Linked DNA regions of Oreochromis niloticus. The protein of the gene in region 1 purifies or fractionates together with the protein of each later gene. This does not show direct contact. Links are inferred from orthologs where the notes say so. Each region holds a gene or a part of one and is shown in the gene's direction. Other genes may lie near its edges.

Evidence for each region.
Region 2: the proteins of ddx39ab (region 1) and api5 fractionate together in Homo sapiens (co-fractionation; 3 studies listed by BioGRID, with this or other methods). This does not show direct contact. The link is inferred for Oreochromis niloticus from reciprocal best matches to the Homo sapiens genes DDX39A and API5.
Region 3: the proteins of ddx39ab (region 1) and thoc1 purify together in Homo sapiens (affinity purification with mass spectrometry; 3 studies listed by BioGRID and IntAct, with this or other methods). This does not show direct contact. The link is inferred for Oreochromis niloticus from reciprocal best matches to the Homo sapiens genes DDX39A and THOC1.

What each region holds. Positions count from the first base shown.
Region 1 is NC_031969.2:8,104,778-8,111,147, forward strand, and holds the start of ddx39ab (DEAD (Asp-Glu-Ala-Asp) box polypeptide 39Ab), read left to right. Parts: upstream 1-2,223; 5' UTR 2,224-2,379; intron 2,380-3,242; 5' UTR 3,243-3,251; coding exon 3,252-3,459; intron 3,460-3,799; coding exon 3,800-3,927; intron 3,928-6,236; coding exon 6,237-6,370. UniProt on the Homo sapiens protein: Helicase that plays an essential role in mRNA export and is involved in multiple steps in RNA metabolism including alternative splicing. Regulates nuclear mRNA export to the cytoplasm through association with ECD.
Region 2 is NC_031972.2:43,409,589-43,415,958, forward strand, and holds the start of api5 (apoptosis inhibitor 5), read left to right. Parts: upstream 1-2,368; 5' UTR 2,369-2,625; coding exon 2,626-2,697; intron 2,698-3,146; coding exon 3,147-3,308; intron 3,309-3,472; coding exon 3,473-3,566; intron 3,567-3,650; coding exon 3,651-3,716; intron 3,717-4,323; coding exon 4,324-4,475; intron 4,476-5,017; coding exon 5,018-5,224; intron 5,225-5,402; coding exon 5,403-5,507; intron 5,508-6,083; coding exon 6,084-6,173; intron 6,174-6,370. Other genes in the region: samm50 (sorting and assembly machinery component 50 homolog A), read left to right, coding at 12-82, 519-562, 654-800, 1,144-1,285, 1,699-1,744. UniProt on the Homo sapiens protein: Antiapoptotic factor that may have a role in protein assembly. Negatively regulates ACIN1. By binding to ACIN1, it suppresses ACIN1 cleavage from CASP3 and ACIN1-mediated DNA fragmentation. Also known to efficiently suppress E2F1-induced apoptosis.
Region 3 is NC_031982.2:19,576,195-19,582,564, forward strand, and holds the start of thoc1 (THO complex subunit 1), read left to right. Parts: upstream 1-2,514; 5' UTR 2,515-2,554; coding exon 2,555-2,602; intron 2,603-2,692; coding exon 2,693-2,765; intron 2,766-2,869; coding exon 2,870-2,894; intron 2,895-3,017; coding exon 3,018-3,078; intron 3,079-3,182; coding exon 3,183-3,252; intron 3,253-5,224; coding exon 5,225-5,343; intron 5,344-5,436; coding exon 5,437-5,485; intron 5,486-5,569; coding exon 5,570-5,665; intron 5,666-5,815; coding exon 5,816-5,898; intron 5,899-5,977; coding exon 5,978-6,051; intron 6,052-6,159; coding exon 6,160-6,268; intron 6,269-6,369; coding exon 6,370-6,370. UniProt on the Homo sapiens protein: Component of the THO subcomplex of the TREX complex which is thought to couple mRNA transcription, processing and nuclear export, and which specifically associates with spliced mRNA and not with unspliced pre-mRNA.

The sequences.
Region 1 (6,370 bases):
TCCATGAGTTTAACGTGGGTCAGATGTCAGGAGGCAGAGTTCAGGAGTCTGACAGCTGTGGGGAAGAAGCTGTTCCGGTACCTGGTGGTCTTAGTCCGGAGGCTCCTGTAGCGCCTCCCAGAGGGCAGGAGGGTGAAGAGTCCATGTGATGGGTGACTGGGGTCTTTGATGATCTTCCCAGCCCTTTTCAGACACCGCTTCCTGTAGATGTCCTTTATGGCAGGAAGTGGTGCTCCGGCGATGCGCTGGGCAGTTTTCACGACCCTCTGCAACACCTTCCAGTCCGAGGCAGAGCAGTTCCCGTACCAGACTGTTATACAGTTGGTCAGGATGCACTCGATGGTGCAGCAATAGAAGTTCACCAGGATGTCTGAGGACAGGTGGTTCTTCCTCAGAGGCCTCAAGAAGAAGAGGCGCTGGTGAGCCTTCTTGACCAGCTTGGAGCAGTTGGTCGTCCAGATGAGATCCTCGGAGATGTGGACACCCAGGAACTTGAAGCTGCTCACACTCTCCACAGCCGTCCCCTTAATGTGGATGGGTGGATGTGGGTCAGCATTCCTCCTGTAGTCCACGATGAGCTCCTTGGTCTTCTCAGTGTTAAGCAGCAGGTTGTTTCTGTTGCACCACTCAGCCAGACGATCCACCTCCTCCCTGTAGGCGGTCTCATCGTTGTCACTGATGAGGCCAATCACCGTGGTGTCATCTGCAAACTTAATGATGGTGTTGGAACCATCAGCAGGTCTGCAGTCATGGGTGAAGAGGGAGTAGAGGAAAGGGCTCATCACACAGCCTTGTGGTACACCGGTGTTCATTGTGATTGTTGATGAGCAGCGGTTGTCCAGCCGGACATGTTGGGGGCGGTTGGTCAGGAAGTCCAGTAACCATTTGCAGATGAGGGAACTGATGCCCAGGTCTGTCAGTTTCCTGATGAGTTGTGAGGGGTGGATTGTATTGAATGCTGAACTGAAGTCTATAAACAGCATTCTGGCGTAGGTGTTGTTGTTGTCCAGGTGTGAGAGGACAGAGTGCAGTGTGATGGAGACTGCATCCTCTGTGCTCCTGTTCTGGCGGTATGCGAATTGGTGGGGGTCCAGGGTGGGGGGGGAGACAGGATTTGAAGTGTGCTAGGACCAGCTGCTCTAAGCACTTAGTGATGATGGGGGTGAGTGCTACTGGGCGGTAGTCATTGAGGCTAGATGGGTTGGAGTTTTTGGGTATCTGGACGATGGAGGTGGATTTGAAGCAGGCCGGTACCACAGCGTGGGCAAAGGACAGGTTGAATATGTCTGTCAGGACTCCTGCAAGCTCCCCAGAACACGCTCTGAGAACACGCCCGGGGATGCCATCAGGACCTGCAGCCTTGTGGACATTGATCCTGCTCAGCACCGCTTTAAAGAACACTACTTGTCATTCTGTATCTGTAGTTTTCCTGTTAAAGAATCTGTAGTTTTCCTGTTAAAGAATGTGTGATTTTATAGACGACAGAGCAATAAAATTTATTATTTTGTAAAGATTTCTGCAGATCTGCAGATACTTCCTGATTGCTTCCTGTACAAAAGTATTTATTAAGCATTATGAAAGCTGAGACCTGATGCCAGTGTATCCATGTCTAGTTGGAAATGCTGCTACTTCTCGTTATTAATACAGTTATTATTAGTCCTTGGCTCCCCGTTTGTTATTCGTAATTATGATTTTAATAAAAGGTTATAAGCGTTAATGATGCTTCAACGACGTTAATGCTGGACCACACTGTGTCCATTGTGACCACTAGAGGGCACTAAAGCCTTTTAATTCTCAGTGTTTAATGTTTCCAGAATTAAAGCTTGATTTAGACTTGTGCAAGGAAACGTAGAAATCACAGTTACATATACTTTTATTGATGGAGTCCGAATTTCTTCACACTGTTAATATCACATCCTGGAGAGGAGTTTTGCCTCGCGCGACTTAAATTTCTACATTTCATACAATTTTAACGATTTCTGTGAAACAAAAACAAACAAAATTGAACCAATCTGAATCAATTCCAGGAAGCTGTTTTATATTTAAGGTCACAGGCCTGCATTATCATACGCAAACACATCACGGTTAATTTTATACTTATATTGCAGCAAAACGTGACTGTATTGATTTATTTCCCATGTCCCTCCCGAGCTCCCCTACGGAGAGCAGCTACAACCGTGTCCCGCTTTTTTCAACTGCGACGGACTGCGGCACACTTTCTGTCCAATCACAGGCTGCTTTTCACAGAGGTCGCCTAAACGGGCCAATGATATCGACCCGCTTTAGCCGAGGCGGAACTTCCGGTTGGTGGTATAAACCAACTGAGGCCTCTCCATGCGGTTGTGATCTATCGGGGCAGTCGAAGCTAACACTGAAACGGTAGGAATTCTTGAACTACTTCATTGTCCCGCTTGGGCGGCTTTCCGCGTCTCGTTTCACCCACAGAAGCTTGTAAATTATATTTATTTAATTTGGGCTGAAGTAGTGTTTGCTATCGCTAAAAATAACCTTTCGTTGTTTGTTTCAGGGGGCGGTGTTACTTAGCGTTTTGTAGCCTAGCATTTGATAGCCTAGCAAAGCAATCGCCACTTAGATTTCCGTATTTACACGAAATATGCCGCCTTTTTGTCGTTCATATAACACTCCCGTTACAGTTACGAAAAGATCGCCTGCCTATGCTGTTGGGAATATTTAGTTGGTCGTAGCGGATCAGTTGTTGTCGTGTAGAGGATTAGCTTGCCACGTTAGCAATGGTTATGCAACACAATGGCTTTCTAGTGTTGTATGCGCTTAGAAGCTAACCGGTTTGGTCTATTTGACATCGTCGGTTACGGTTTTGACCTTGTTTGTTATATTGAGTGTACGTGGTCGTAGAGAATAGTTTCTGTTTACAAAACACTACAGCGTATTCATATTTAGGCCCGCTTTGTTGCGTTTTCTTAATTGCTTAGCATTTCTTAATCACAGGCTTACTCTTTAAAATGGAGTTCGAGTTATACACAATAAAGCTAATGTTTGGAGTCACGTTTATCACCAACCACGATTTTCATAGTTGCACAAAGTCAAAAACGCCTTGTAATGATAGAATAAAAAACGACTTTTTAAATGTATTAAAATATGTCCAACAAGTGGGCTCGAATAAGAACCTCGCTTCATATAATCTAAGCAAAGCGCGCCTTCTCTTACAGACACAGATGAAAGATAGTGATCATTAATACTCAGCTGTATTTTCTTTGTTCCAGACAAATACAATGGCTGAGAATGACGTTGACAACGAGCTCCTTGATTATGAAGAGGATGAGGAGCCTCAAGGAGCCCCCGAGAGTGCAACCCCAGCAGGCAAGAAGGAGGTGAAAGGTTCCTATGTTTCCATCCACAGCTCTGGCTTCAGGGATTTTCTTCTGAAGCCGGAGCTTCTCCGGGCCATCATTGACTGTGGTTTTGAGCATCCATCTGAAGGTGAGACGCATTCAACTGTTCTGGTACCTTTTGTTAAATGGGACTAGCGGGGAACTGGCAATGGAGTTTGTTTATGGCATACTCTTACACTACACTGGTAGCACCAGTCAGAAGTTGTAAGTCTGCATATTTTTAAACAGTGCTCACCTTATCTTGCTTACCTACATTAAGAGTTTTTGAGTAGCTTGACTTGCTTTGTGTGTCTAAAAAAAATGCACCACTCCCAGCAGGACTGCCACTCCTCTTGTGCTCTTTATAGCAACTCAAAGTAATTGATTTGCAGGTAATAATAAGACTGTACTTAACATTAATATTTGTGTTGTGTCGTTTAAAAACACAGTGCAGCATGAATGCATCCCACAAGCTATCCTGGGCATGGACATTCTGTGCCAAGCCAAATCTGGTATGGGCAAGACGGCTGTGTTTGTGTTGGCGACCCTGCAACAGATCGAACCCGTTGACGGACAGGTTAGTATGTGTGTTTAACATGCTTTGACTGTGTAGTAAATTAATTGTTTACATGGGTTGGGTTCAATAAAAGAAACAAAGAAGTGCCTTCAATGTTGAGCTTTTCATTTATTGGCTATGAATGTTATTAGTCTGGTAATTAATGAACAAGCCAATAAAGGCTGATAGAGGTCCAAATGTTTTTGTTGTTTTGTTTTTTAACTTAGCTGAAGTCAGAGCCAGCTGTGAGACAGCACAAACAAGATTGATCAAAATCAGTCTTAGTCAAAGCTAGGGAATGCCAACAGAATCAATACCCATGGTACCATTTTGATACCAGGATTTTTGAGATGTAGTAGTGCTCGTCTTTCTTTGCTACCACAGTCAGCTTATGCAAGGAGGCAGAAATTCTTCCAAAACTGAAGGAGGCAGGATGTGGTTACAGGTATTCTATTGTCCTTATAAGAACCAGAAAAATTGAAAGCTACAGCTTAAAGAACAGGTGAAAGATGGAAACTTGTGCCTAACTGCCACAAACCTCTGCTCCGTCTCTTTTGTAAGAAAGGCAGAGTCTGCTGTGAACCTGCTTTGCATTCAGGTGGCTGCAAAATCTGAGATAATTGATTAGCAAGAGGCGATATGCAAACAATGTTTGGATTTCCAATTTAGCAAGGCACCTGAAAGACAGGTATCCAGAGCTATTCATAAAGTTCAAGTTGAGGAAGTTTAAGTTAACAATGACAACATCCAAAGTTTTGTCCTACTTATCCAGAATCACAGATTACTGCTTTTTTTGTTTGAGACTCTCCATTGTAAAATAACCTTGAAATGTTTGTGCTCACTTAATATAACTGTAACACGAGTTACAGTCACTGCTAGTAAGACTAATGGGCTACTCGGCAGCCATCCTACCATTTCAGTCTGCGTCTTGTCAGTAAAATAATGTCAACATTTAAATACATGATCAGAATTCTAAAACGTTTTAGTAACAGTTTAAGTACCTGGCATCAGCCAGTCATTTTGTTTCGCTATCCAGCTGTGTGATTCTACTGGTATTGGTACAAACTAATGAATTTCTGGGATCATGATGTTCCTTATTAAAATGCAAACAACAGATTTCATAGGTGACTTATAACCAGCAGATTTCTTTGTTGGGAGATGCAGTTTTGAGGACAACAATAAAATGTTTAAACTGTGTACCATATTGTAAGTGCAAAACAAGGAACGCACTATTGTAAAAAGCATTCTGTGTAGTGCTGTCACAAATTGATTCATAATAACTTTCAAAACTACTGGAATATGTTTTAGTATCAGCAGCGACGGGTAAATCGTTGGAAATCCAGCTTTGCATTCTGTGCCACTTAAGGAAGCAGGGAGTCGCATTCAGTTATGGGAAGTGAATAAAATTTAGTTTTGTTTTTTTGTTTGTTTAAATTTTGTTACTTTTTATTCAGTTGTGTTATTAAATTTGACAGGCCTAGAGTGCTTGGTGTTCACTGGGTTTTTCATTTCAGATTTAAGTAGATTACGTATTCACTTTCAGTGTCACACTTCCCGCCCATCTCATCTGCACAGTGCACCTCGACCCTGCTTTTATTAAAAATAGATTCAGCTTGTATTTTTAGTGCTGCAGAGCAGAGAGTTGCTTCTGCGACACTTCTGCCACGTGGTAGTGCAACATCATCTGAAGTGTGATGCCTGAATTATGCTTTAGCGGGAAATCTACGGCGTAAGAAGCAACGCTGCACCAAAACCTTCCACATAACCTCATAAGAGAAATGTTACTACATGTTGGGTTGTCTGCGTTACGTGTAGGGTTAAGAGGGGTTTCCAGTTAATATGTAAATTTTCTGTTAAAGCATAATTCAGGCATACGGGTCGATTAGCTTCGGTGTTCATGTCGGTGCTGGAACGCAGCGCAGCCGATCCTGGTGGAATTCGGGGATTTGAGAGGATAGATGCACTGAAGTTAGTTATGTAACATATCATCAGTTTATTCGATTATAAGCGATATTTTCATGTTGTGCTTGTTGTTATGTAGAAATTCTACACCAAAGAGTTGATAGATGGCTGAGTTCTGGCTTATAGAGTTGTAGAACTTCAAGTCTAAGGGGTTGTAGCTACAGTGGACTTCCACAGTGGCAGTGTGGGATGTAATTTTCTTCCAAGGACAGATGCTTCAATGATCATAAAATACTAAAAATGTAACATGAACATTAAATGCATCTTGTCGTTTGTAATGTAAAACTGTTAATTTTAAACAAATTATTCTGCCTACCTTTGACTTTTTGATAGATTTTTGGATTTAATCTGCGTTTCCTTGTCTCCAGGTGTCTGTATTAGTCATGTGTCACACACGAGAGCTGGCCTTCCAGATCAGCAAAGAGTACGAGCGTTTCTCCAAGTACATGCCCACCATAAAAGCAGCAGTATTCTTTGGTGGCCTGCCTATCAAGAAAGACGA
Region 2 (6,370 bases), on another chromosome or scaffold:
TTTTCCCTCAGGTCCTTTCTGCCTCATTGTGGGGTGGTTTGCTTCTACCCATTGGTGATAAGCCAACAAGTATAGCAGACAGGTAAAAACTCACAGCACACTGGCATTATTAACCAGAGGTTTGATTGTCCTAGAGCTTTGTAAATTAGACTGTTGAAAGTGATGTTGCTGTCCATATTTGTCTACATAAACAGCTATAGGGGTTAGCATTTAAATCTTTAAAAGATCACTTTTAAAATGGGAAACTTGGGCAGCTTCTGGAGTTACAAATAGCATATTTTTTTCTAATTCAAAGCAGATTTATCTGACTCCCTTAATGACTGTCTGACTCTGGTGTGGCTCAAAATTTGAAACTATCTGGTCTTATTCCTAAAACCATCCATCAATCCTTTTCTTCCACTTATCCAATTCAGGGTTGCGGGTGGGCTGGAGCCTTTTCCGATTGCTATAGGGAAAGACATATAAAGTTCAGTTTAATATAAATTTTTTGTGTGTTTTGTACTTTTTTGATATTCTAGGTTCTATCTTGGCGGCCCCACCAGTATGGGCCCACAGAGTGAAGGTGAGGCATTACCTCAGATAAGCTGCTTGGTAACAGAATGAAGTTTGATGATTAATTGAAAGGTTATGTGCTGGCTTTACTGGTATGGCAGGCGACTACCTGGGGGGAGAAGCCTACTGGGCTGGAGGCCTCCACCTCTACACCCCTCTACCCTTCAGACCAGGCATGGGAGGCTTTGGTGACCTCTTCCGAACCCACTTCTTCCTCAATGCTGGGAACCTTTGTAACCTCAACTATGGTGAGCTTTTAAAACAGTTGAGCACCTGTTATTTAATCATGCTAGATCTTGGTCAGACCTTGAGATTTGTGACTGAACTTTTTAATTCAGTTTGGCTCACTTTGAACTTGGTTAATGTGCAATAACACTAAGTGTAATTTTGTTTTCTGACAACATAGTGTTTTTTATTCTGTTGTATATAGTATCTTATTCTATTATATATCTTATCTTATCTTATCTCTCTCTTAAACTTATTTCTATCAAGAGCAGATTGGGATTTTATGTTGTTAGGACAAGTATTACTCAGATTATGAATACATGCATTTGCCTATATGGTTGAGTTCATATGTACATTTTTGCTCAGGTGAGGGTCCACAAGCACATTTGAAGAAACTGGCTGAATGTATACGTTGGTCATATGGACTGGGCATTGTGCTGCGCTTGGGGAACATTGCCAGGCTTGAGCTGAATTACTGCATTCCCATGGGAGTCCAGAGTGGAGACAGGTAATGCTAATTACATCAGCTAGTCTAAGATAAGCTGATTGGGACTTTACGGTTTCTTTAAAGACATATTAGGCCAATAGAATTGCTGTAAATAGATGATGAATGATGAATTTTAGTCTGAAAAGAGCAACACAGTCTAACTGACAACAATCAAATTAAGTATAGTGGTGGTTTCTTTAACGTCACTAATTAATTTACTGTACATTACAGATCTGTTTAAATGTGACACTAAAGAACTTATCACTCTAAGTTTGGCAAGTATGAAACAGTGTCAGAACATTGCTATAGGAAAATTAAGAAATGGATTACTTAAAAAAATTCTGTATGACATTGCAGTTGTAATGATGTGCAACAGAAATAAGATAATAAGTGTCTTTCAACTACATTTCAATGATTCTTTATTGTCTTTGCAGGATATGTGACGGGGTCCAGTTTGGAGCGGGAATCAGATTCTTATGAAACTGCATTTCTTTCCTGCCAGATAATTGCTTGTACAGAATTGTTGCAACCAGTTTAGTTCAATAAAACTATTTGCACTGACTTTCTGTTGTGATCTCTGTTTTTTTTTTCCTTTTTTTCTTATCATTACATTAGTGAGAGCTGACCCTGAGTATGCCACAAAACTGGTTACGGATGGACAAAGAAAGCTCTATGAACCTGGGTCTTTATTTCCAAAGACTAAATTAAGACCTGTAACTTTGCCATGTGGTCATATACAAATACATGCTACAAACTGATGGGCATTCAGCCTTAAACCACTGCCTCCTTCCTTTTGTGCAACTAGAACTTTTGTGTGGCTGATTAGAAATATTTTTTTTTTAAAAGAAACATAAATGTGTAAGTATATGCCTATACAAGCAGTGTAAAACAAAAAAATATTTATATATAAGGGGCATTACACCCAAAAAAAATAGTATTACGTTACCCGTACTTATTAGTTAAGGTATTACCTGTTTATGCTAGGTTTAGGTCCACAGACCACACCTCTTCTTAACATGAGTAGTTTGTGCGCATCGATTTGGCGCACACTCATGTCACGTGCCTGCTGGCGCTATGCGATTGGCCAAACCCGCGCATGCGCTGTACTCGGTATTCCGTAGCTTTTTTAGCCAGCACGCCAGAGAGTAGCGCGAAGAAGACAGGCAGTAGGGGGTATTCATTCACGGAATTCTCGAAATTTCATCTTTCCGTCCTGTTTCCTGACAAGATAACTCTCCACATTACGGCGTTGTTTGTTTCGCAGTCGTCCGACGCGGAGCAAAAGCAACCTGCGACGGGTTTTACTTTGTGGATTTTTCAGAGGTCTTATCTGTGAGCAGCAGTCACTTGAAATCACGCTGATGGCGGTCACAATTGAGGATCTCTATCGTAGCTACGGGATCCTTGCTGATGCCAAGGACAACCTCAGTCAGGTAAATAAACGTCGCCTAGTATGTTTTAAACTGAACATAGTTCTGTTACCTTGCAGCAGTGTATTGTTTTACTTTCAACGTTGCTAACTTTTCTGGTTTACATAACATTTGTTTGTGTGTGCTAAGCTAACTGTAGCTAGTTATAGTAATGACCGGGCTAATGTTAATAGCTTCGCCGTGGCGATCCATAAGCCAAACCAAGTTTACTACTACATTCATTATTTTTAAGTTGAAGTTTAAACTTTTCCACTCGCAAAATACTTTAGGCCACAAATGGGAAGTGGCTATAGTTTGATTCAGATTTCACCGCGATCTATCTCATTTAGGATGTTATACTATACGTGTTCATTTGTTGTGATCTACAGAAACAATGATAAATCTCAGCTAAATGAAAGCGTTATTAAAGACTCATTGTGTAATGTAGACTGTAATGTACCATCATTTTGCAGCACAAGGATGCCTACCAGGTAATCGTGGATGGTGTGAAGGGTGGCCCCAAGGAGAAGCGTCTGGCAGCACAGTTTATTCCCAAGTTCTTCAGCAGCTTTCCTGAACTTGCAGATGCAGCTATTAATGCCCAACTAGATCTCTGTGAAGATGAGGATGTTTCGGTGAGTATTAACTAACACATGTAGCCATGAACCTAAATACCGTCAACAGTAGCTGCAAATTTTGATTTGTCTGTTTCCAGATTGATATTGGACGTCTTTCAGGGATTGAATGTGTTCACAGTATTAATTTTTATTTCTCTTTCTGTGTACTTTTCATTGACCAGATCCGACGACAGGCCATCAAAGAGCTCCCGCGCTTTGCAACTGGTGACAACATCCCCAGAGTTGCAGATATTCTCACCCAGCTTCTTCAGACAGGTAACAATTTTTCACAAAAGCTACTCATACCCCAACAGTATTGTTGATCTCTGCTAATGTTTGTTGACGTTTTTGTGCTTCCAGATGATACGGCAGAGTTTAACCAAGTGAATGCAGCACTTATTTCTATCTTCAAGATGGATGCCAGGGGTAAGTTTCTTTTTCCCCTGGGGCAAAACTGAAATGTAGCTAGGCCTGTTTTAATTATTAAAACTGACTTTTTTTGTTGTTGTTTATTTTGTTTGTTTAGTGTGAATAAAATAATGTTAACCTATCACAGCCATGGTTCCAAAGAAGTAAAATGAATTTTGGATATTATGTCACTTGAGCAAAAGTTTTTAATAGAATGACCCTTTAAATTTTTACAACATAAACACAGAAACAAGCCTGACACAAAGTAGCAGGTCAACATCAAGAGCTGCAATGGGGATAAAGCCTTTTGTATAAAATTCTTATTCTGTACAAATCTTTGCAACCCTGCTTGATCAGTCAGTCTCACTCAAATCACATTCAATTACATCTTGAGAGCCAGCACAATGGGCTCAATTACACTCAGGATCAGGTCGATTATCCATCTCATATAGCTTATAAGCCTGGGATATTGGAGTGCAAACATTTACCTGAGAATATATTTATATATTCACACTATATTTGTGCATGATATCATGCTGTGACACATGTGTTACCTGTTTATTCAGAGAGGACACTCCATATATATCACAATATTTTTAAATTGTTTTTTCTTTTTGTCATTCAGGAACCCTTGGGGGACTCTTCTCTCAGATCCTGCAGGGAGAGGATATAGTGAGAGAAAGGGCCATCAAGTTTCTATCAACTAAACTGAAGACCCTGCCAGAGGATGTCATGACAAAGGAGGTGGAGGAGTACGTCTTTGCCGAAACAAAGAAGGTTTGTAGATTAACGAGTGATCGTTCAGGTGTAAGTTTCTCTGTGCCTGAATGTAACACGGGTAATTTACATGAGAAGACACATGGCTGTCCGGACTAGGGGTGTGTATAGAGTACTGATTGTTTTGGGTGTGGCTGATAGTTTTGCCTTTGTTTTGTTAATTAATGACATTGACTAGTGAACCTGTGATGTGAATCACTCAACTCTTGTTTAATCCATTTAAGTGCAGTTGTTTAGGGTATGACCTTAAAAAGCAGAGGTGAGTTTCTCTCACTTGCCTATGGGCTACTTTCATTGAAACTGAGCTATCCTTAGTGGTCCTTTGTTGGGGGAAATCTGAAATTTTTTTAATGTTGACACTAAAGCTGTCCAGGAGGTATTGGACCATACATTTAGCATTGCAAAAAAAATCTTTGTTGACCAAGTTTTGGTTGGCTGCAGGAACAAAAACCGACAAGTTGCAAAAAGTCACAAATGAACATTTTTGCATAACACATCCAAGATAAGAACACATTCTGAGCAGTTGTTTGTCTTCTTTGCAGGTGATGGAGGATGTGACAGGAGAGGAGTTTGTGCTGTTGATGCGTGTAGTGTCGGGTCTACGGGTACTGCAGACTGTAAATGGGAGGCAGCAGCTGGTGGAGCTGGTGGTGGAGCAAGCTTTCCTGGAGCAGGCCCTCAACCCAGCTGACCCCGACACTGTGGACCGCCTGCTGCAGTGCACACGCCAGGCCCTACCGCTGTTCTCTGTAAGTAACTTATGCACTTTAAAGCAGAGGTGTTTAAAATCAGATCATTTCATTATAAGAAGCTTTTGTTTTATCGGTCTATTCAGTTAAAACTTTTACTTTGAGTTATGTTACTTTATATAATTAGTCATTTTTTTGTTTTTGTTTTTTTTTCCTGTCTCTCTTTTGTCTCTTGTAGAAAAATGTCCATTCCACACGTTTTGTAACCTACTTCTGTGAACACGTCCTGCCAAACCTCAGCACCCTGACAAGTCCTGTGGCTGAGTTGGACATTCAGTTGGAAGTGAGTACCTTTTTAAACTGTAAATGAGTGATCCTGAAGTGAGTTTAAAATGTAATGCTGGTTAGTGTGTCACGCTCACTCTTATGTAGTTGTATACGGTTGTTTATTGTCAGTATTAACTTGTAAGAGGAAATCAACCTGCTTAGTGTCCCTCTCTGAGATCTCTAAAGATGAGAGCACCTAATATGCAAATTGATGGCACTATGTTGAGTACAACATAAACTTCCTCAGCCACATTCAGATCACACCCTCTCAGACTTTTCTGGTGGAAAACCTGTAATTCTACCCAAAACATTCTGCTGGTGCTTTGCCAGTAGCGGTGCACACAAAGCAAGTAGACTGGCATGACAAATATGGTGACTGGTGTGAGGTCAAGATTCATAACATTTGACATTTGGTGAGTGGTTGTAGTAGTAAACAAAGGCAGCATGACAGCCACCTGTTAGGGGTGTTAGCCAAATGCATGTTGCTAATGGGTCGTTAGTCTGCACCATGTAACAGTGCTTCTCATTAGCAATGCATATTACATATTACTGAGATCTGCTAATCTCTCTCTCTCTCTCTGTCTCTGTGTAGGTGCTAAAGCTGCTGGCTGAGATGAGTCCGTTCTGTGGAGATATGGAAAAGCTGGAGGCCAACCTCAACATGCTGTTTACCAAGCTGCTGGTAAGACTTGTCCTGTTTTACTTGGACTGAATAAGGAATACATGGAAATGCACCAGAATCATCCAAATCCACCAGTAGTTTCCCTCAGATTCTGAAACATTGTTATTTATTTTATTTTATTTCAGTTTTTTCATCTTTACTGCTAAGTAAAGATGTACTAAAGAGGGCATCCTGGGCTTTCCATTGATATTGCATGT
Region 3 (6,370 bases), on another chromosome or scaffold:
GGTATAGAAATTAGGAAGAAAAAAACTAAAGGGACTTTGACCAGGAGAGAGTGAATGTCAAACATATAGGCTGAGAGCACAAACATACACACATGCACCTTCCACATGTATGCAAATGGACACGGAGCTTTTAGAGGGTCCAATTTAGAAATTTAAATGGATTCACAAAGTTTAAAAACTTCATTAAAGTTTTTATTATTTTCATGGACATATAAAAGCATAAAGATTTGTCATTCTTGACAAATTTATTTGAGTCATACGGAGAAAAATAGTATAGTACTTTAGACCTCAAATCTCTTCATCTGATGGTTTTATGCATTTCTAGATCCACTGTGATCTGTAATGCACATGCAATAAGACATACTGTTGAACCTGCACTTGTTTTATTTTTATCTCAACCGCTTCAACATGTTTTCTAAATAGATGGTCTATTAAATCGGAACTTTTGCTTACTTGAATTAAAGGTGTGTTATTATGCAATTGTTTTACTGCTCTGGCCCATTTGAGATCAAACTGCTTATATGTGGTCCATTAACTAAACAGAGTTTGACACCCCCTGCTTTTAACTGCAACGTGGAACTAAATGGTATGAAACACTGCCGCCTTCTGGTCTAACTTGGATTTATCCACATGGCCACACTGAGTGCAATCATGCTGTTAAATCATTAAGAGGTGGTTTCCCAGACATGAATTAAGCTAAAACATCTTTTTAAACCAATTTAGCATAAATTAGCTTTCTCATTACTGGTATGAGAAAGTCCTAGACTTAGCCTAGTCCACAGTGATATAAACTGCTTTCTTAAAGTAAGATTTGGGACTAAATTAAAGCTTAAATTGAAGCTCACAAGAGATTTTTTCCTCAGATTTGTGCTGTTTTTCTAAGATAACCATTAATGTCACCAGCTAGACAATGTCTTGCTGACAGAAGTGAGCCATTGCTGCAGTTTTTGGAAACTGAAGGAAATTCTTACACTCATTTTTACACTTTTTGAATCCAAGCTTTCGTCTGTGAGAATCGCCTGTCCCAGTTTTTAACTTTTCACAGAGAATCTGGACCTGTGACTCCCAGGAGTTACAGGTTACAAAGACTGAATACATACACCAAAAAATGTCTTTCTATTTCAGATTCTGAGGAATCACAAAAAGTGGTTTCTACAAATCTCCACAACATATGCACTGATCAGATAAAGTTTTCAAATAATGTTGTGCAGTGGAAAAGTAAAATTCACCATACCCCTTGTTTCCTAAACTAAGACTAATGTAGACTTACTTAGACTCTTTTGGCTTTGGGTTTCTTGAAAGGCACTATATAAATCTAGGCTATTATTGTTCATCTCTGTATACACAGTTTGAAAGTGGAGAGAATAACTGAATGTTGCTCAGTGACAGTGGGTACGGTTAGAGGTTTTGTTTGCACCATACTTGCACCCAACGGTGGTACAGCCAGGCTCGTGTTTTCATTAGGGTTTCCAGTGCCTTTGCAAAACCCTTCAGTTCAAGCCAAAAAGATGACACATTGTCATCAGCGCCACACCTTTTTTCATGGCTATCTAAAGCAGAAGGGGTGCCCATATCTCCCAACAATCCATCAGCTGCCTAATACCACACAGAAGGACACAGAGATGTTTCTGCATTGTGCCACTTTTAGTAGGAATCTACCTTTCCATCCTTTTGTTCAGACCACAGTTATGAAGAAATAAAGTGTACACTAGAAGTAAAATTTTCTATTTCATCTGGAATCCTCCATAAAAAGAAAAGGCATCCAGCACAATATATTAAAATATTTCTTTCATACGTTTTGGTTTTGATATGACATGTAAGAAAGTCATGTATCTCCCTATCACATCTTCATGTCCACTTTAGCATATATGCATGAATTTCAGTAGCTAGTCTTTCATGGTTACTGGGCCTTTTATGGTGACCAGTACTGATAGATATTGCTACCCCTTGCTTCCAAGGATGTGGAGGGTAAACCACCTTATATGTCTTCAGTTTTCTCCATAGTACACGTTCCTTGAAAGAGAAAGAAAAGTTCATATAAATGTAAAAATAATAATAATAATAATAATAATCAAAAATGTAGATAAAAGTTCAAATCAGAGGAGACAAACAAATAAAAGTTTGAAAGGAGAAAAGGGAAAGGCCAAAGGAGAACTTCTTACATACTCAGTGTATGTGTGAGATCCATGTGAACAGCCAATGTTATCCTCATCTGGTTATGTTCTCCAAAGGCTCCTGGACCTCCATTATTCCTTAAGTCCTTGTTATTATGACTCTCCTGCACACTAAAAAGTGTTAGTTTAACAATTAGGCAAATATGATGTACTGTGAGGAAAATGTTTAACAATTACACCATTACCATAATAATTTGCATGATACAAGTTTTTGTTTTTTTTTTTTAATGGTGGAAAGTGCGCTGGAGACATAAACTTTCACATTGCACCTTGACTGTAATTAATTTTAAATGCAATCCTGCACCGCTCTCGACCCTTTTCCCCACACTCAAAGAAGCCGGAACAACTTTATCGGCACTTCCGGTTGCCAAAAAGAGACGATGTCGCCGTCTTCATTTAATTTTGTCGACGCTAAAGACAAATTTACGGTAAGAAAACACAGAACTTCAGCAACGTATAAAAATATGTGCAGTTATATATTTTATATCACAGTTAAAATCCTAGCCTGGGTTTGTTAGTGTAGCATGTCGCGTGTTGTTACCATAACAGATGAAGCTAAGCTAACACAGACGCTAACCAACGATGCCGTTTGTTTCATAAATGTTTTCTAATTCTCCTTCTTCTTCTTCTTCACACAATCTCAGGCGTCTGCCGTCCAGGCTTTGACTGGAAAAAAGCATCAAACCTTTGATCAGTATTTTTTAACCAGATCCCCGGCAAGTAAGTGAAGTTGTTAGTTCTTGCTAACTAATGTATTGTAATTATTTCTGTTGGCTATTATACTCTATAATAATGGAGGAAGGGATGCAACTTTACTGATCGCTTGTTTTTCTCACATTACAGTGAGGCGGAAAAGAAGACAACCCTCGATCAGGCTCTGAGGGGAGTTCTTGGTGATCTGATTGTAAGAAATGCTTTTTGTTTGTTTGTTTCTAGTACGCGTTTGTTCAATTTTTTTTTATTAAATTACCCTCAAAATCCTCAAACGATATATTCAAATGTTTCCAGGTTGAGCAAAAGTTGAGGTGTGATGACTACCTAGCTCTCATTTACCTGAGCATTGATGGCGTTACAGAAGGTATGTTACTCAACTAGGGGTCTCATAAGTAGATCCAGGTGATACACTGATTTTTAAGATTTAAAAAAAAAAAAAAAAAGTTTATTCCTTTTGTGCCGGGAAAGAAACCTGTACCATAAATAAAAACTAAAAACACTTTTTGATTAGTGTTTTAGCTCTTTAGTTCTCTATGAACTAAAGAGCTAAAATGTTCTCTTTGAACATTCAGCCAGTGCAAAAATCTGTGACACAACATATAAATATCAGCCACTGCCTTGTGAATGCCAAGTTATTTCCTATTATTCTCATAGCATACATCACTCAAAATGAGCACATAGTAGCATGTGGCTGATATATGTGTGCGTCCCAATTGATACCATACTTTTATAGCCAAAGAAAATCCTTTTTGGACATACATGTGTGAGAAATCCCTATTGCACATCTACTGAGGCAATTTGGCAGGTCTGTTATGCTGTGGGGGGGGGTTTACAGATATGCTTCTGATCCACTTGCCCCTATTTGTTAAAAGTAGAGATGGACCGATCCGATATTACGTATCGGTATTGGTCCGATACTGACCTAAATTACTGGATCGGATATCGGAGAGAAATAAAAAATGTAATCCGATCCATTAAATATAAAAAAAACACCTCACAAAACTTGCGACACGGCGTAACTCGGCTCATAACCGTAGCACGTCGGAGCAGTATGCATCACGTGATAGAGCAGCTGTGTGTATTTGTAGCCTCGCTACCAAACCAACATTTCATCTCCGAGGAAGTTATCCCACAGAGAAGTAAAGCAAGTGTGTAAGTTCATCTCTGAATGTTTGTAAAGCATTCCCGCGTTAAGCTTAACAACCGATATATGGAGCGACTGCCTCTCTCTCTCTCCCTCACCTTCCTGCGGCTACTTCAATCGTGAAACTGATCAATGATCAGCTGATCGGCTTTTCTGTCGTGAGTCCGTCTCTCTTCTTTGTTTTTGGTCCACTTTGCACCAGAAGGAGGAAACCAGCGGCTGAACAACAGCAGCACGTTTAAGCTTGATAAGCTGTTGTTAGAATTTATTTAATATTACTTTCTACACCAGGATCCTTTTCTACGTAGCTGACCGCTGGTAACTGTGCAGGGGCGGATCTAGCAAAGTTTAGCCAGGGGGGCCGATAGGGCATTAACAGGGAAAAGGGGGGCACAAAGACATACTTTTCTTTCTTATTCTCATTTAAAACGTCTAGCTTTTAATAAATAATTATCTGAATCTTACACCCAAAGTTTTAATCTGATGTAAAATGTATAGAAGTCCATTACTGTATATAGTAACTGTTAAGTCTAATATACCCTAATAAGCTATAGTACTTTTTTCTTTGAGAAGGTACCATCTGTGCAGTCTGCAGTTCTGTTGAAGAAAGATGTTGAATCTATTTAATTATTCTTGAAAAATAATTTATTTCTGTGCATTTTTTTCCACCTTGCATCAAATTAAAGTTGATTACATCGATTAAGCATCATGAGGTGGAGGGTGGGTGGTTCCCTATTTTTTTTTTTTTTCTGGGAGTTTGCAACCCTGTTAGTTAGGTTGCTTAATATTTCTGCTAAGTACTCTTTAAAATACCAGAATAGGGAGGATTAAGTTTATTAGATTGATCAGTGTTGCTGAACTATGAAATATTTTGGGCGCAGTGTATTTTTTACATACAGAATAGCTTTAGTGTTGTTGTTTATTTAAACTTGAGGATGAACTTATACAAAATGCAGCAAGATATTAAAAAAACAGTTTTATTGATTAAAAAACACACTGTATCGGATTCATATCGGTATCGGCAGATATCCAAATTTATGATATCGGTATCGGACATAAAAAAAAGTGGTATCGTGCCATCTCTAATTAAAAGCATGCATTTTGCAAGCAGACTGCTAAGGTAATCTTCTGTAAGTCTTAGAGACAATGTGTCATGTATGAAGAAACTTAAAAGACTTGTGGTCCACTGCAGGTATCTGTTCTGCTACGACCCCTTTCGTCCTGCTGGGAGACGTGCTGGACTGTCTTCCTTTGGACCTGTGTGACAAAATCTTCTCTTTTGTCGAAGAGAACGTCTCCACCTGGAAATCGGTAAATAAATTCCAGCTATTGAGTAAAGGCCCCCACAAATTTGTCCTGCGTTGATCACATGTTTACCAAAGCTGTGCTCTATTTTTCTTACAGAACTCCTTTTACACTGCAGGGAAGAATTATTTATTGAGGATGTGCAATGGTAAAGAGGTTATCTCATCATTTTGTGACATATGAAGCTTTTTATCTTTAAAATGCAGAGCAGTGTATTTTCCTGTCTGTGTAGATCTCTTAAGGAGGCTGTCCAAATCTCAGAACACAGTTTTCTGCGGGCGAATCCAGCTCTTCCTGGCACGTCTCTTCCCTCTGTCTGAAAAATCAGGTAAGAACAGCAGTATTTTATCATTATAAATAAATAAACCAACATAAACCTTTTGAAGATGAGGTTTGCAATCATTCATGGCACTCTGGCAACCCCATTCACAGCTTCTCTGTTCGAGTGATTCTTCTTTTTATTTTGTTTGCTTTCCAGGTCTAAATCTCCAGAGCCAGTTTAATCTAGACAATATAACAGTGTTCAACAAAAATGAACAAGAAAGCACTCTCGGCCAGAAGGTAAAGATCTGATTCTGACCCTGAGCACTTTAGAAGTAATCAAAAACTGTGAATGTTAAATGTGTTACTGTGTTTATAGCACACAGAAGAAAAGGAGGATGGTATGGAAGTGGAGGAAGGAGAAATGGGAGAGGATGATGGCCCTGCACCGAGGTAAGTTAAAGGCTTTCTCAAGAATAAATCACAAGGTTTGTTTCTTTCGTTTATTTGTTGAAGTAAACATTTTGATTGGCCCTTTATCTGGTTTAATTGTTATTGCAGCTCCATTCCAATCGACTACAACTTGTACAGAAAGTTCTGGACACTGCAGGACTACTTCAGAAATCCAGTGCAGTGTTACGATAAATTCTCATGGATGACATTCCTTAAGGTAATGCACCTTACTACAGATGCCTTTCCTCCTCATTTTTAAGATGGCAAGTATCGAAGTAGATGATTAAAAGTCATCGATCACTTTTTTGTCCTACGCAGT